Linked DNA regions of Stegostoma tigrinum. The protein of the gene in region 1 purifies or fractionates together with the protein of each later gene. This does not show direct contact. Links are inferred from orthologs where the notes say so. Each region holds a gene or a part of one and is shown in the gene's direction. Other genes may lie near its edges.

Region 1 (7,472 bases):
AGCAAAATGTGCACCCAGCCTCCATTAACAGCTATTCACCCTCCTAGCCAGATTGTTACCCAGGTCTCACCAATGTAGAAGAGACCACATTGTGAACAGTGACAACAGTCAACTAGATTGAAAGAAATGCAAGCAAAGTTATGTTTGGCACCTTGGACAGCGAGGAGACAGGAGATAAAGGGGGAAAGTGTAACATCTTCGGCATTGTATAGGAAGGCGCTACGTTTAGGTGAATGGGTATTAGAAACGACAAAAGAATGAATCATAGATGGAGCAGTCCTTTGGAATGCTGACAATGGAAGGGAAAGGCCAGTGTGTTTGGGATGGTATCCTGCTCAAGGTGACGGAAATGGCGGAGGATGATCCTTTGAATGCAGAGGCAAGTGAAGTCATGGGAAATCCTGCTGTGGTCCAGAAAGGGAGGGAAAGGGTTGAGGAAGAAGTGTGGGAAATGGGTTAGATAGTTGAGGGCCCTGTCAACCACAGAGGGACGGCAGAGGAGACTCCTTGGTTAAAGAAAAACAAAGATATATCAGAAGTGCCATTTTGGAAGTTAGCATTATTGAAATAGATGCAATGGAGATAGAAAAAACTGGGACAAAGGGTGGAATATTTACAGAAAGCAATGAGTGCAGACCTGTAGTCAAGGTAGTTATAGGAGTTAATGGGTTTGTAAAGAATATTGGTTGATAGCCTATCTTTGGAAATAGAGACTGACAATCAAGGAAGGGAAGAATCAGAGGTGAGTTGGTGAAGGTAGATAGAAATTGGAAGTAAAGTTGATTTTTTTTGTTAATTCTTAATGAGAGAAAGAAATGGCACTGATGACATCATCGATATTTTGGAGAAAGTGTGTGGGAGGAAGTCCAAGTAGGACTGGAAAATGAATGCTCCTCATTCCCCACAAAGGGAAAGGCATAACTGGGACACATCCAGATAACTGCTACCACACTTTTCATTTGGAAAAATTGAGAGAGGGCAGCCAAGAGGAATGTGTGATTGGTCACATGGGGAAACACAGACCCTACTAGAATCAAGGATGACCATGCCTAAAGGAAGTGCTCCCAAATGCAAACTTGAGAAGAGTTTGAACAGTGGCTGGAGACACTGTGGAAAATCCATGAGCTGAGGCTTACATGGATAACACATTTAGAGAGGTAGTCACCCTACAGCAGAAGGGGCTGGAGGGAAGAAAAGAAGGGATGGTCACCTGGGAAAGAGGATAAGGCAGGTAGAGCAGGAGTCTGCTGTGGCCCTGCTGACAAATCAATTTCCCATTTTGGAAGCTGAGGGGGGTGGTGATGTCTCAAAGGAATGTAGTCAGAGACAGGGTTCTGGCACCACAAGCGGCTTGAGGAAGAAAGGAACAAAGCTAATGATAGAAGATTTCACGTTTGGGCAACAGACAGGTGTTTATGCAGCTGCAGATGTGACTTCAGGGTAATGAATTGCCTCTTTGGAGCTGGGTCAGGAATGTCACTGAGCAGCTGCAGGACACTCAGAAAGGGGGAGGGCGGTAAGAGGCCATGGCACACATTGGTACCAGTGACATAGGGAGAATAAAAGATGAGGTCTTGCATCAAGAATTCAGGGAGCTAGGGAGTAGATTGAGAAGGAGGGCTTCAAAGTTTGTTATCTCTGCATTCCTGCCAGTGCCATGTGCAAATGAGTACAGAAATAGGAAAATAGGGCAGATGAATGCATGGTTCAAAAGTTGGTGCAAGAAGAAGGGTTTTAGATTCCTAGATCGCTGAAATTGTTTCTGGAGAAGATTTTGAGCAATGCTGTAATGCTTCCAATCTTCGCCCAAGTGAGAAAATGACTAAATGAATATAGCTGTGAATTTGGTTCAAAGTGCAAATCCAACAGGTGAATCTATTTCAAGTGTAACGTTGAGTAGAGGTCAGATTCAGTCCTGAAGTCAAAATCTTTAATTAAGTTAAAACAGCTTGATTCGTAAGTTATTTATCAATTGCTTGAATGAGGGGTATTGAATTCTGTAGTAGGAACTAAGCTTAAAAAATTACTTGCCTGAGGGATTTTTAAATCCAATGGACACTAAGGAACATGAGCAAACATGAAGGTACCTTTGCCTGATAAATAGACAAAGGATGATTCAGTATGTCCGGGAATTTGGTTCAATGTGGTAATTCAAAGAGTCACAAATTCATACAGCACAGAAACAGACCCTGCGGTCCAACTGGTCTGCGCCAGACATTCCAATCTGCTCTAGTTTCATATCCCTTTAAATGCTTTCTATTCCTAAAAGAAGAAGAAAAAATGGGGCGGCATTGTCGCCCGGTGGTTAACACTGCTGCTTCACCACAGGGTTCGATTCCAGCCTCAAGTGACTGTCTGTGTGGAGTGTGCACATTCTTCCTGTGCCTGCGTGGCTTTCCTCCGGGTGCTCCGGTTTCCTCCCACAGTCCAAAGATATGCAGGTTATGTGAATTGGCCATGCTACATTGACCAAAGTGTTCAGGGATGTGTAGATTAGGCAGCTTATAGGGGAATGGGTCTGGGAGAGATGCTCTCAGGATTGGTGTGGGCTTGTTGGGCCAAAGGGCCCTGTTTCCACACTGTAGGGATTCTGTGATTCTTATATGCCCATCCAGGTGCCTTTTAAATTTTGCAATGGTACCCACTTCTACCACTTCTTCTGGCAGCTCATTCCATACAAACACCACCCTCTGCATGAGAAAGTTACCCTTCAGGTCCTTTTTAAATCTTTTCCCTTTTACCTTAAACTGTGCCCTGTAGTTTTGGGCTCCCCCATCCAATTAAAAGCATATTTGGAAAAGCTTAGCAAGCTAGTCATGTATGATTTACCCTTCATAAACCATACTGACTCTGATGGATGCATTTTGGCTTCCCAAATATCTGTTATATTTCTTTAATATAATGAAACAAATGAAACATACAAAATAGCTTGGTTTATAGTTTCCTACTTACTGCTTACTTCGCTTTTTTGGATATCTTTCCAATTCACTGGAACCTCTCATATCCAGGCTTTTTCCATAAATTATAACCAACTGATCCACTAGTTCTGCTGCCACCTCTTTTAAGATCCTAGGATACATACCATCAAGCCCTGGTGACTTGTCTTTCTTCAATTCCAAAAGTGTACTTTTTCCCTAAATGTAATGCAGTGGAAGATAAAGAGATAGCAAGGTGTAGAGCTGGATAAACACAGCAGGCCGAGCTGCATCAGAGGAGCAGGAGGGCTGATGTTTTGGGCCTAGACACTTCTTCAGAAATGGGGGAGAGGAAGGAGGTTCTGAAATAAATAGGGAGAGAGGGGGAGGCGGATAGTAGAGCTGGCTGTTACTTAAATGGAGAAAGACGGCAGAATGCTGCAGCAAAAATGAATTTGGGAGTCTTTGTGCATAAATCTCAAAAAAACTAGGTTGGCAGGTAATAGAGAAGGCAAACAGAATGTTGGCATTCATTTTAAAGGGAAAGGATTTGTCTTGGCCAGTTAGCTCAGTCAGTTAGAGCTTGGTGCTAAATACAGCAAGGTTGCAGCAAGATCCATGTATGGAGCATTTCATCTAGGGGACACCTTTGGCTACTAGTCCAGAATATTAGGCCAGTGTTCTGGGGCTCTTGGTTTGAATCCCATCACGGCAGATGTTGTAATAAAAATCTGCCGTAGACAGCTAGTCTAGTAATGACCATGCAACTACTGCAGATTGTTGTAAAAATCCAACTCATTAATGCCTTGTAGGAAAGGAAATCTGCTGCTTTGGCCTGGTCTGGTATACCTATTACTCCAGACACACAGAAATTCACTCTTAACTGTCCTCTGAGCATTTAGGGGATAGGCAATAAATGCCGGGCTAGTCAGTAACACCCACATCCCATGAATGAAAAATAATAAAACAATTATAAAATAGGGAAGTCTTCTTGAAACTTTCGAAGCCATGAGTTAGACCACACCTAGAGTACTGTGAACAATTTTGGTCCTCTTAGCTAAGGAAATAAATACCGACATTGAAACTGGTCAAGGGAAAGTTCTCTCATTTGCTCCCGGGGATGGAGCAATTTATTTATGAGGAGAGGTTGAGTAGGTTGGGTCTGTATTTATTAGAATATAGAAAAATAAGAGACAACCTTATTGAAGATTCTTAGGTAGACAAAGTCAGAACCGTCGCTGATTTTTCATTATTTTTATTTTTATTCTTTCATCAATTTTGATTCAGAGCTGCGAACTGGGAGTTATGAGCTGAGAATAACTTGCGGACTTTGGAACAACTTGTGGTAAAAGGAAAAGACAGAACAAACAAGTTTCTGTTTGCTTGTGAGGCCAGCCCTGGAGGTTAACAGCAGGCTGATTCTTGATTAGAAAGGTTTCCACAGATGAGGTCAGTATTTGGGAACTGGTTCAGCGAGTCTGGAAGCAACCCCACACTCAAGCAGATGGAAGATGTTGAATGGTAATTGCGGCCTCGGGAAAAGACGTTCCAGTCTATCATGGTGGAACAAGAGTCTGGGTTGTGGTCGAACTGTTTCCAGGAGGAGATAAGTGTGGCTGCTGACATCACAACATGAATATTTGAAAGCTCTCTGCCCAATCTCCCACACTGGCTTTTAGATGCCCAGAGAGTAGAAAGCTAAGCTGCAAATATTGCCACCTTTACCTGAGTAAACTAAGGTGATCCTGATTGGTGGTTCCTGAAAAGTAACCAAGGAGTCCACATCTATGCCTATGCAACAACACATTGCGAAAATCACGTAAGTAATCTAACCTGTCTTGTGATTTCCTTTTATTTATCCCCTAACTATGTTTATTTGTCTACCTTTGACAATCTAAGAAAAGGTGGAAAAGGTGCAGAGGAGATTTACCAGGATGTTGCCTGGTCTGGGACCCAGGCCCTATGAAGAAAGGATGAGGGATTTGGGTCTGCTCTCATTGGAGAGAAGCAGGCTAAGAGGGGATTTAATAGAGACATACAAGATGATAGAGGATTAGATAGGGTGGACAGTGAGAGTCTTTTTCCGAGGATGATGACTTCAGCTTTTTCAAGGGGGCATAGCTACAAATTGAGGGGTGATAGATTTAAGACAGATGTCAGAGGCAGGTTCTTTACTCAGAGAGTGGTAAGGGTGTGGAATGCCCTGCCTGCCAATGTAGTTAACTCAGCCACATTAGGGGCATTTAAACAGTCCTTGGATAAGCATATGGATAACGATGGGATAGTGTAGGGGGAGAGGCTTAGATTAGTTCACAGGTCGGCACGACATCGAGGGCCGAAGGGCCCGTTCTGCGCTGTATTGTTCAATGTTCTATGTTCTATGTTCTTTTGCATGAATGTGGGTTGAAACCAAATGTTTCAGGTTTAAAGTATAGACATTAATGAGATTAACGTTGTTTAATTTTCTTTCTGCTAAAGTTCTTGCATATTTAATAAGTACTTGTCTTTTGTTTAAGAATCAAAACTGGTGTCCAGAATTAATTATTCACACAGTCTGAGTTTGACTATTCAAAAGTCTGTTCGGGGACTGTTGGGGTTAACTATTGACAGTCTCTGACAGTTTAAATTGACTGAGTTGCAAATACAGAGGTAGAAAGTGTGATTTGGTTTGGCTGTCTATCTCCACGTTATAACAACAAGGTAGGTGTGGAGAGGTTGTTTCCACCTGTGGGGTAATCTAGGATCAGACAGCATAATTTCAAAGTAAGAAATTACTTATTTAAGACAAAGGTAAGAAGGAATTTCTTCTCTAAGTGTTTGTGGAATTTGCAGAATTCTTTATCACAGTGAGTTGTTGAAGCAAGTCATGAAATATACACAAAGCTGAGATCATTCAGCTTTGATCTAATCGAATGGCAGAGCAGATACAATAGGCTGAATGGACTACTTCACCAAAGATCCTTAGACAGAATCTTCCAAACCTATGACCACTTCCATCTGGAAGGACAAAGGCAATAGATAGCTAGGAATACCACCCCCTGCAAGCATTAGATCTGAATTTACTGGAATATTTGCCAATTTTATATGTGGAAGTGACACAAGTAGTCTTTTTCTTAATTTAAGGTCTCTGAATGCCCAACTTAATGATGGATTCTAGTGTTTACCTTTTGACAAGTGTCAAACTATTGGGATAGTGTTTTTCGTCTCTCTCTGTTCTTGAATAAAGTTGTTATATTTGCAGCTTTCCAAAATGCTGGGGCCTTTTCAGGGGATTTTGAGAGGGTTTTTAAAATTCATTCGGGGGAAATGGGCATTCTTGGCTAGCCAGCATTTATTACTCAACACATATTCACTATAATCTGATATTGCTGCTTCTCAGCTTCTCCAATTTAAAGCCAATTAAACCTTCATTTAGAGTCATAGAGCTGTACAGCATTGAAACAAACCCTCAGTCCAATTTAATCCATGCCGACCAGATATCCCAAATTAATCTAGTCCCATTTGCCGGCATTTGGTCCATATTGCTCAAAGCCCTTCCTATTTATGTATCCATCGAGATGCCTTTTAAATGTTGTAATTGCACCAGCCTCCACTACCTCCTCTGGCATTTCAATCCATATGCGCACCACACTCTGTGTGAAAAAAGTTACCTCTCACATCCTTTTTAAATCTTTTCCCTCTCACCTTAAACCCTCCAGTTTTGGACTTCCCTACCCTGGGAAAAAACCTCGGCTATTCAAATTATCCATGCCCCTCATGATTTTATAAACCTCTCAAAGGTCATCCCTCAGCCTGCAAGGCTCCTGGGAAAATAGCCCCAGCGTATTCAGTGTCTCCCTAAATCTCAAACCCTCTAATACCGGCAATGTCCTTGAAAGGGCTCAGAAAAGGTTTACAAGTTTAACGACATCTTTCCTATAGCAGGGAGACCAGAATTGATTGCAATTTCTAAAAGTGGCCTAACCAATGTCCTGAACAGCTACATCATGACCTCCCAACTCATACTCAATGCACTGGCCAATAAAGACAAGCGTACCAAATGCATTCTTCCCTACCCTTTCTACCTGTGATTCCACTTTCAAGGAACTATGGACCCATGCTCCAAGGTTACTTTTTTCAGCAACATTCCTCAGGGCCCTACCATTAAGTATATAAGGCCTGCCCTGGTTTGCCATGCCAAAATGCAGCATCTTACATTTATATAATTTAAACTCGATCTGCCAGTCCATTAGTCCACCTGATCAAGGTTCCATTGTACTCCGAGAAAATCTTCTTCACTGTCCACTACACCATCAATTTTGATGTCACCTGTAAATTTACTAACTATTCCTCTTATATTCACAGTTAACTGCTTGATGTAAATGGCAAAAAGCAGTGGATCCAGCACCAATCCTTGCAAATACACCACTGGTTACAGGCCTCCAGTCCAAAAAACAACCTTCCTCCACTACCCTCTGTTTCCAACCTTCAAGCAAATTTTGTAACCAAATTACTAACTCTCCCCAGACTCCATGAGCTCTGACCAGTCTGCCATATGGAACCTTGTTAAATGCCTTA
Region 2 (8,069 bases), on another chromosome or scaffold:
GCAGGAACAGCAACTCATATTCCACTTGGGAACCCTGCAGACCAATGGTATCAATGTGGACTTCACCAGCTTTAAAATCTCCCCTTCCCCTACTGCATCCCAAAACCAGCCGAGCTCATCCCCGCCTCCCTAACCTGTTCTTCCTCTCACCCATCCCTTCCTCCCACCCCAAGCCGCACCTCCATTTCCTACCTACTAACCTCATCCCACCTCCTTGACCTGTCCGTCTTCCCTGGACTGACCTATCCCCTGCCTACCTCCCCAACTATACTCTCCTCTCCACCTATCTTCTTTTCTCTCCATCTTCGGTCTGCCTCCCCCTCTCTCTCTATTTATTCCAGAACCCTCACCCCATCCCCCTCTCTGATGAAGGGTCTAGGCCCGAAACATCCGCTTTTGTGCTCCTGAGATGCTGCTTGGCCTGCTGTGTTCATCCAGCTCCACACTTCATTATCCAGGGTTTATAGGGATATGGCCCAATTGCTGGCAAATGGGACTAGATTAATTTAGGATATCTGGTTTGCAAGGATGAGTTGGACCGAAGGGTCTGTTTCCACGCTGTACATCTCTATGAGTATTGGTTTATAGGTTATCACTCTACAGTTGACATTTAAGGTCAATATCAATTCTTGCATAAATGCTAGAGGAAAACCAGTTCCCATGGATTTGTACCTCCGAAAGTATGTAGCATCTTGAGGAGAGTAACAAACAAAAGTTTCAGCAAGAAGAATAATAAAGATGTGAAAGACAAATACTGTTCCAACAGAGGGCACCCTCTGGAATTTGGGCTAATCGAATGTTTGGTTAATGAGTTTTCATATTGCTCTCATAAAGCCTCCAACAGCCAGTCTAAAGGCTGTCTTGTCTGATGACTAACCTCTGTTCATTCCTGTTGCTGCAAGCAGAAGGCAGAGCTGTAGCAAGAAAACCTTTGTCAGCATTTCCCCTCCCCAGATATGGAATGTCCCACATTGCTAAGTAGTCCTAGTCAGTTGCCTGGAGTCTACATTGCAACACATGCAATTCAAAAATATTCAAGGGTGTTATGTACATCATATTTCTACTTGAATTTATGTAAATGCCTGAGTTTCCACATTATTGGGAAATTGCATCCAAAATGCATGTGAAACTGCACTTGTGTTACAGCTCATGTTTAATGTTAAATTGATTTGCAAGTAGCAACGTGAAGCAACTTTACCAGCCAACAATATAATACCAAAAATAGTACTTTTAATGAGTGGTTTAAAAACCACACAAGATAACTTAAAACAATATGGAACCTTTTCGAAGTTTCACTGATGTACACTAATCTGTTTCCAACGTGGTTTATTTTTGATGAGAAAAAATCTTCCTGGGTTTCCTGTCTGTGAACTGAAGAAACAGAACATAATTTGAAGCACTTTCTCCAATCAATGCAATTGTCAGAATCTGTCAATTATAATTAGAGCATGGCCAGTTTTATAGGTGAGCTCTTGAATCAAATGAATTGAATCCCAAACCAGTGGAAGAGATGTCAGAAAAATGAACTCAGTAATTTTGGGTGCAATTTACCATATTTAAAATTCCCCAATCTTTGGCATGGGTGTGCCTGATTTCAGCTGCATTCAGCATTATCTTGTTGCACAAGGTGGAAATTACAATATATGGAATAGAGTCTGATTTGAACAATTTACATTAACCACTCATTCAAGCAGTTACAAAGTTTAGTGCTTGGTTGACTGAAAACCGAGGCATCAGTGATGGGATGAATGAAATGGGAGTTATGCAAGAGGCCAGTGTCTAGTGGGGTTTGTTTTGACCACACAAGTGGACAGGGTAGTAAAGAAGGCATATGGCATGCTTGCCTTTATTGGTCAGGGCATTTAGTACAAGTGTCAGGATGTCATGTTGCAGCTTTATAAGACTTTGGTTAGGCTGCACTTAAGTATTGTGTTCAGTTCTGATAGCCACATTACAGGAAGGATGTGAAGATTTTGGAGAGGGTGCCAAAGAGGTTTACCAGGATGCTGCCTGGATTTGAGTGTACAAGCTGTAAGGAGAGCATAGGAAAAGTAGGGATGTTTTCTCTGGAGCAGTGAGACTGAAGGGAGACTTGATAGAAGTCTATAAAATTATGAAACGCGTACATAGGGTTGATAGTCAGAATCTTTTGTTTGGAGATGAAATGTCCTATTCTAGGGAGCATTCATTTAAGGTGAAAGGGAAAAAGTTCAAAGGAAAATTGAGGGTCAAGTTTTTTTACATCAAGAGTGGTAGGTGTTTGGAACATGCTGCTAGGAGTAGGGAGGCAGATACGACAGGGACATTTATTGGACTTTGAGAAAAGCACATGAACATGCAAGGGATGGAGGGATAGGGACCAAGAGCTGAGGGGATTAGTTTGACGTGATGTCATGTTTGGCACAACATTGCAGGCCAAAGGGCTTGTTCCTTTGTAGTACTGTTCTGTGTTCCATATTAAGAGCTCTTATGGAGCTGCACAGCTAGAGAATAAGGGTGAGGCCACAGCGCTCTGTTATAGGAATGCTATTATTAAATTGGAGAGCGTTCAGAAAATAATTAGATCATAAAATCCCTATAGTGTAGAAACAGGCCCTTCGACCCAACAAGTCCACACTGACCCTTGGAGCATCCTACCCAGACTCACCCCCCTGTACCGAAGCTACACATCCCTGGACACTATGCAATTTAGCACGGCCAATCCACCTAACTTGAACATCTTTGGACTGTGGGAGGAAACCACAGCACCCGGAGGAAACCCACACAGACAGTCACCCAAATATGGAATCGAACCCGGGTGACAGCAGTGCTAACTACTGAACCACTGTGCTGGGACTGGGGGATTTGAATTATAAGGATAGGCTGGATAGAATGTGAGCTTTTTCACTGGAGCATAGGAGGTTAAGAGGTGAGATTTACAAAATCATGACGGGCATCTATAAGGTGAGTAGCAAAGGTCTTTTCCAGGGGTGGGAGTTCTCGTTAAGGTGGCACATTTTTAAGGTGAGAGGAGAAAGATTTAAAAGGGACCCAAAGAGCAAAGTTTTCACAGAGGGTGGTTTGTGTGTGGAATGAACTGCCAGAGGAAGTGGTGGATGCAGGTACAGTTACCACATCTAAAAGACATTTGGACAGGTATGTGGAAAGTTTTGGAAGGATATGTGCCAAATTCAGGCAAATGGGACTAGTTTAGTTTGAGAAACTTGTTTGGCATGGGCGATCTGCTCGGTTCTGTGACTCTACGGTAGTAGACATCAATCGCTTCAGTCTTTCCAATGTTTAATTTGAGAAATTGAGTTTATCCAGGATTGGGCATTTAACAAGCAGTCTAACAATACAGAGATAATAAAAGCCTGGAGAAAGTAGAGGTGAGTATTGTCAGAATATTTATGGAATCCAATGTGATAATTTCTGCTCATGTTCGTAAGGAAATGTGAATGGAAATTGGAGGGGAGACCTACAAAGACTTTCAGCATAAAGATCGGTTGACAAGAAGGGAAGCCACTGCAGCAGGTTTGCTGATTACGACCGGATTGGTAAGACTAGAACAGAGCAAGACCACTTCTGGCCAACTGAACAATAACGATCATGTTAAAGGCCACAAGCAGGTTGAAAAAGTTGAGGAAAATTAGTGTACCACTGTCATAATTATGTAGAATGTAACTTGTGATTTTGATAAAATTTGGTTTTGTGATGCAGCAGGGCTCATGAGAGAGTGACAAATATGGAATTGTGGGAAACACGGACATGATTTGGGAGGCAGCAAAATGTTCACAGTTTTAGGACGGAATGCCGAAAACAAACATTTCATTAGTCTGATATTAATTGATGAAGAACTATGTTTTGTATTTCCCTTTGCTTGTTCTTTTAATACGGACTGTGCAAATTTTATGATGGGGAAGTTTTTATTTCTTGGGAGATGCATTTCAAATTGATTGTAAATTTTATATTACTACACAAACAAGAGTTCGTCATGGTCTTCAACTGTATTTTGATATAGTAATACCCCTTGCTGTGGCAATAAGAAAATAAAAGCTGATGACAAGGTACTTTGTCTCTTTAACCATCTGCATGCTTCTGTTTTAATGCATTCGCTAAAATTAGTTGGCAACATTAAATAAAATTTACCTAAAGAACAAATTGTGAGGAATCAAATTATTGCAATCTAAGTTTTCTTTTGATAGTCTAAATTGCTTAGATGTATTACACAGGAGATTTAAGTGAGCAAAATATTGGAACTTGCTTTGAGAAAATTAATGAAAAGTTATTTTAATCCACCGTCTGAATGTTGTACGTATTTAGCAATTTGCAAACGATGAGCAGTGCAATTGCCAGACAGTAATGAATTGGCTTGGTGCAAACAATGTACTCCCCCTGCTCCTCACCCCAAAACTCATTAATTAGAAAATCAAAGGTCATCTTGTTTCAAAACCACCCTCGCTTAAATTCCCCCCTCCCATGTAAACTTTCCAGGGTACTGGTTTGGGGATGATTAACAGAATGCATAACCTTGAGTGCCAAATACCACACACACCCCTGCCATTTTCTTTTTGGCCGGGATGTTCCCATGCCACGGTACACACAGCAACGAATGGGACTTTCTTTAATATTTTCACACAGCTTCCGAAATTTCCACCTACTTCAACGTTCAACAGAAAAGAAACCGGAAGGGCTTCAGCAAACGTAAACCAATAAAAAAGAAGATAGTGCAGAATAATGTGCATCGTAGACAAACTTCACGCTAATAGTTATGAGAACAAACCCTTAAATGTAATTAAATGCGAAGCTGAGTTCTTCCTTCTGGGATGCCCTGTGTATTTTTGAATTGCGGCCTATTGAGGGATTTTCCCTCCTTGTTCCATTCGGTACACTGCGTTCTTTTTCTAATTGAGCACATTAACTGCTTTGGAATTTCCCAGCCAAAAAGGCAACTGGAGCTTGGAGGCGGTGACATGAAAGCTCCGCCCAGAAAAAGCCCCGAACTGGAGTTTATAAATGTTGTCGCGCAGAGTAACGTCTGCAGTCCTGAGACGTGGCAGAGGAGTTATTTGCGTGTGGTGAATTTGGCAGCGTCTTTTATCCGTTGCCTGTTTGGGTTGAGTTTTTGTTTGCTTGTCTACTTCACTGGGATACTCTTACTGTGCAAAAGTCATGGCCGATCCTACCATATTTAATAACCGCGCTGACATCTTGGATAATCGCGGCAATGGGAAACTAGATTACTCGGGCGGCTCGTTGCACCCCGGAGTCGGCAAACAGGCTCCGCTTTGGGAGGAGCGGTGTGACAGCGGCATCGGCTCAATGAATGAGAAGGACGAGGAGGTTCTACGGGAGATCCAGGAGCTGAGCCTGGACGACAAACCGGAGCCAACCCAGTGTTGGAAAGATTTCATCTCGGAGGATGGAGATACGTAAGTGACTTGGAGGCCTTTTTAAAAGTAGAGTAAGGGTCTTGGTGGGGGGCGGGTGTTTGGGTATACAGAAACTGAGCAATGCATGTTGCCCCAGAACCCCCTGATTGGAGAAAGTAAAGTTGGAAGAATTAATACGTCTCTAAAACAGCAATTTACCAAACGCTGAAGGTTTGCAGAACCCTACCAGTTAAATGTCAAGACAGTATCCAGTATGCAAATATAATATTTAATAGAAAAGTTTCATTGTAATTATTTTTCAGATGAAAGTGGATTTAAAGTTTTTTTTTAAAAAAAGCTGAACAGGGTGTTAAATAAACTAATCTCTATTGAGGGCATGGAATCTGTTGAAAGGCTTTTTGAGAACATCATGTTCTAGCAGTAACTGCGCTGGGCGGTACAGTTCCTGTTTGACGCTGGAAAGTCCCTGGCAGGCGGCCAGCTAGTGGTTGTCTGATAAATATTTAACTGTGGAAAGTACCCAAAAAACCCGACCTTGCGCAATCCTGGAGAGTTCCAGTCTTTAGTGCTGAGCTGCTGTGCAGAGTTTCCCCGATGTAGCAAGTTTTAACATGACATTTTCCTCCTTTTAGATTTCTGCATTTGGCGATCATCCATACAGCCAAAGAAATCGTATCCCAAATCCTCGCCAATACCCAGTCTGGCGATCAGTACCTTCATCGTCAGAATAACCTGAAACAGGTAAATATTTTCAACTGATTAATACAAATATTTGGGAATATATATTAATATTTAATAAGTTTTATGCAAAACGCTGACATTACTATTTTGTATTTAATAAATTGGGGACTGTGCTAGATTAATTATAATCTTATGAGAATGTATTGTTCTGCCTGAAGCAGCTAAATAGGTGGTTCCTGTTTGCATTGGAAAGTCCCCACCATATTAATAAATGCTGTGGATACTGGCGTGGGGCGTTAAAAAACACTGCAGTTTTCCTTCGTATTGTGTGTTTCCATGGTTTACCCTGCAGTATTCCCACTGTAATTCTTTTGTTCTGTTTTGTTCAGACACCCTTGCATCTGGCAGTGATCACACAGCAGCCTGATATGCTACGTGCCTTGTTGTGGGCTGGAGGAGATCTGGGATTGAAGGACATTAACGGGAACTCAGCTTTACACATCGCTTGTGAGATGAATATGTTCTTGTGCGTGAAAACCATCAGCGATTTCCTCACAAGACACCATACCCGAGAACTTTTGGACAACAAGAATTACAATGGTACATTTGCCTTTTATATGTGCAGCTCAAATATGAATTCCATTCTTTAAAATAAATTATGCATTTTCAAAACATTAAATTATTATTAAATATAATGTCTAATTTCTTTAAAAGCAATTGCTGTAGCTGCTTTCTTGTGACTAGCTACTTTTTTTAGATAAATATGCAAATTAAAGCTGTAATGTCAATCACTAATAATCACTAATTAATATATTGGACAATGAATATTTATTGTTGCACATATCTGAGACTTCTTCATTTTCCCATTTTAGGCCTTACATGTTTGCAGCTGGCAGTCAAAAACAGACTTCACAAGATGGTGGTCTATCTAATTCAGATTGGAGCTGATATTAACGCTCAGGTATAATAAAGTTTTAATTTCCTAAATAATGATAATCTCTCAATTGATGGCAAATTAAACAGTTACTTTCTGGCATTCACTTTCATGGTATGTAGTAACTGTAAGGTTTGTTTTCTGCACAGGAGCCATCAAGTGGTCGGACAGCTCTCCATCTTGCAGTGGAGGAGCAGGATGCTGAAATGGTGTCACTTTTGCTGCAGTGTGGAGCAGACCCCAATGTGCTCACTTACAATGGTTGTACACCGTATCATCTGACCTTGGGAAGAGAGAATTCTAGGATACAGACAGAACTTATCCATGTGACAGATCCATCTCTATGTATGATGTGGGATGAAGAAAAGATATGGGAATCTGAAACTCCTGACCATGAGGTGAGTGTGCTGGAAATAGACTATTATAGCCACTGAAATGCTTAAAGATTAGATTTACAGTAATTGGTTGTTCACCTCTACACAAACATGTCTTTTAGAATAAAAACCATCATCTTGATAAATTATTTCTATAATCTGAGGTATCAGTGTAAAGATGTTTGTCACTGATATTGTTGCTAATGTGTCATTCATTATTTCCCCAGATACCTTTCTCTTACGATGACTGTGCAATTGGAGGACGCCCGCTCAGGTGTTGAAGATGCTTTCTTTGTGCATTGCTGTATTTCAAGTCATCTGAAAAGAACTAAATATGCATATCAAAGTGTGGTTGCCCAACCATTTGGTTTGATGAAAAGCTTCAGTGACATACACTAAGATTTCTAAGTCACACAGTTGGGTGGCACGGTCTGATATTCTAAATAGTTTGTAATATAAATAAAAATCTTTTCAGAAGTGGAGAATGCAGTGCTACAAATCTTAGATGTAAATTATATACTATTGTGCAAGTGATACCGTTGTATGTGCTGTTTTCAATTATTATAACTGGTTGAAAAGATTTTTCAACATTTAAGTTCTTGTGCATATTTGTATTGTGTAAAAATTGTAAATGTGTAAAATATTGTAATTTTTGTACAGACTTTTTTACCCATAAAAGAACAAGACAATATTTGTACATCCCTCAGA

What was found. The genes of interacting proteins can lie anywhere in the genome.
Region 2: the proteins of nuclear factor NF-kappa-B p100 subunit-like (region 1) and nfkbiab purify together in Homo sapiens (affinity purification with mass spectrometry; 6 studies listed by BioGRID and IntAct, counting the BioPlex papers as one, with this or other methods). This does not show direct contact. The link is inferred for Stegostoma tigrinum from reciprocal best matches to the Homo sapiens genes NFKB2 and NFKBIA.

What each region holds. Positions count from the first base shown.
Region 1 is NC_081390.1:1,059,525-1,066,996, reverse strand, and holds the start of nuclear factor NF-kappa-B p100 subunit-like, read left to right. Parts: upstream 1-4,349; 5' UTR 4,350-4,702; coding exon 4,703-4,734; intron 4,735-7,472. UniProt on the Homo sapiens protein: NF-kappa-B is a pleiotropic transcription factor present in almost all cell types and is the endpoint of a series of signal transduction events that are initiated by a vast array of stimuli related to many biological processes such as inflammation, immunity, differentiation, cell growth, tumorigenesis and apoptosis.
Region 2 is NC_081363.1:55,991,945-56,000,013, reverse strand, and holds the start of nfkbiab (nuclear factor of kappa light polypeptide gene enhancer in B-cells inhibitor, alpha b), read left to right. Parts: upstream 1-4,973; 5' UTR 4,974-5,151; coding exon 5,152-5,411; intron 5,412-6,004; coding exon 6,005-6,113; intron 6,114-6,442; coding exon 6,443-6,653; intron 6,654-6,925; coding exon 6,926-7,014; intron 7,015-7,136; coding exon 7,137-7,385; intron 7,386-7,588; coding exon 7,589-7,642; 3' UTR 7,643-8,069. UniProt on the Homo sapiens protein: Inhibits the activity of dimeric NF-kappa-B/REL complexes by trapping REL (RELA/p65 and NFKB1/p50) dimers in the cytoplasm by masking their nuclear localization signals.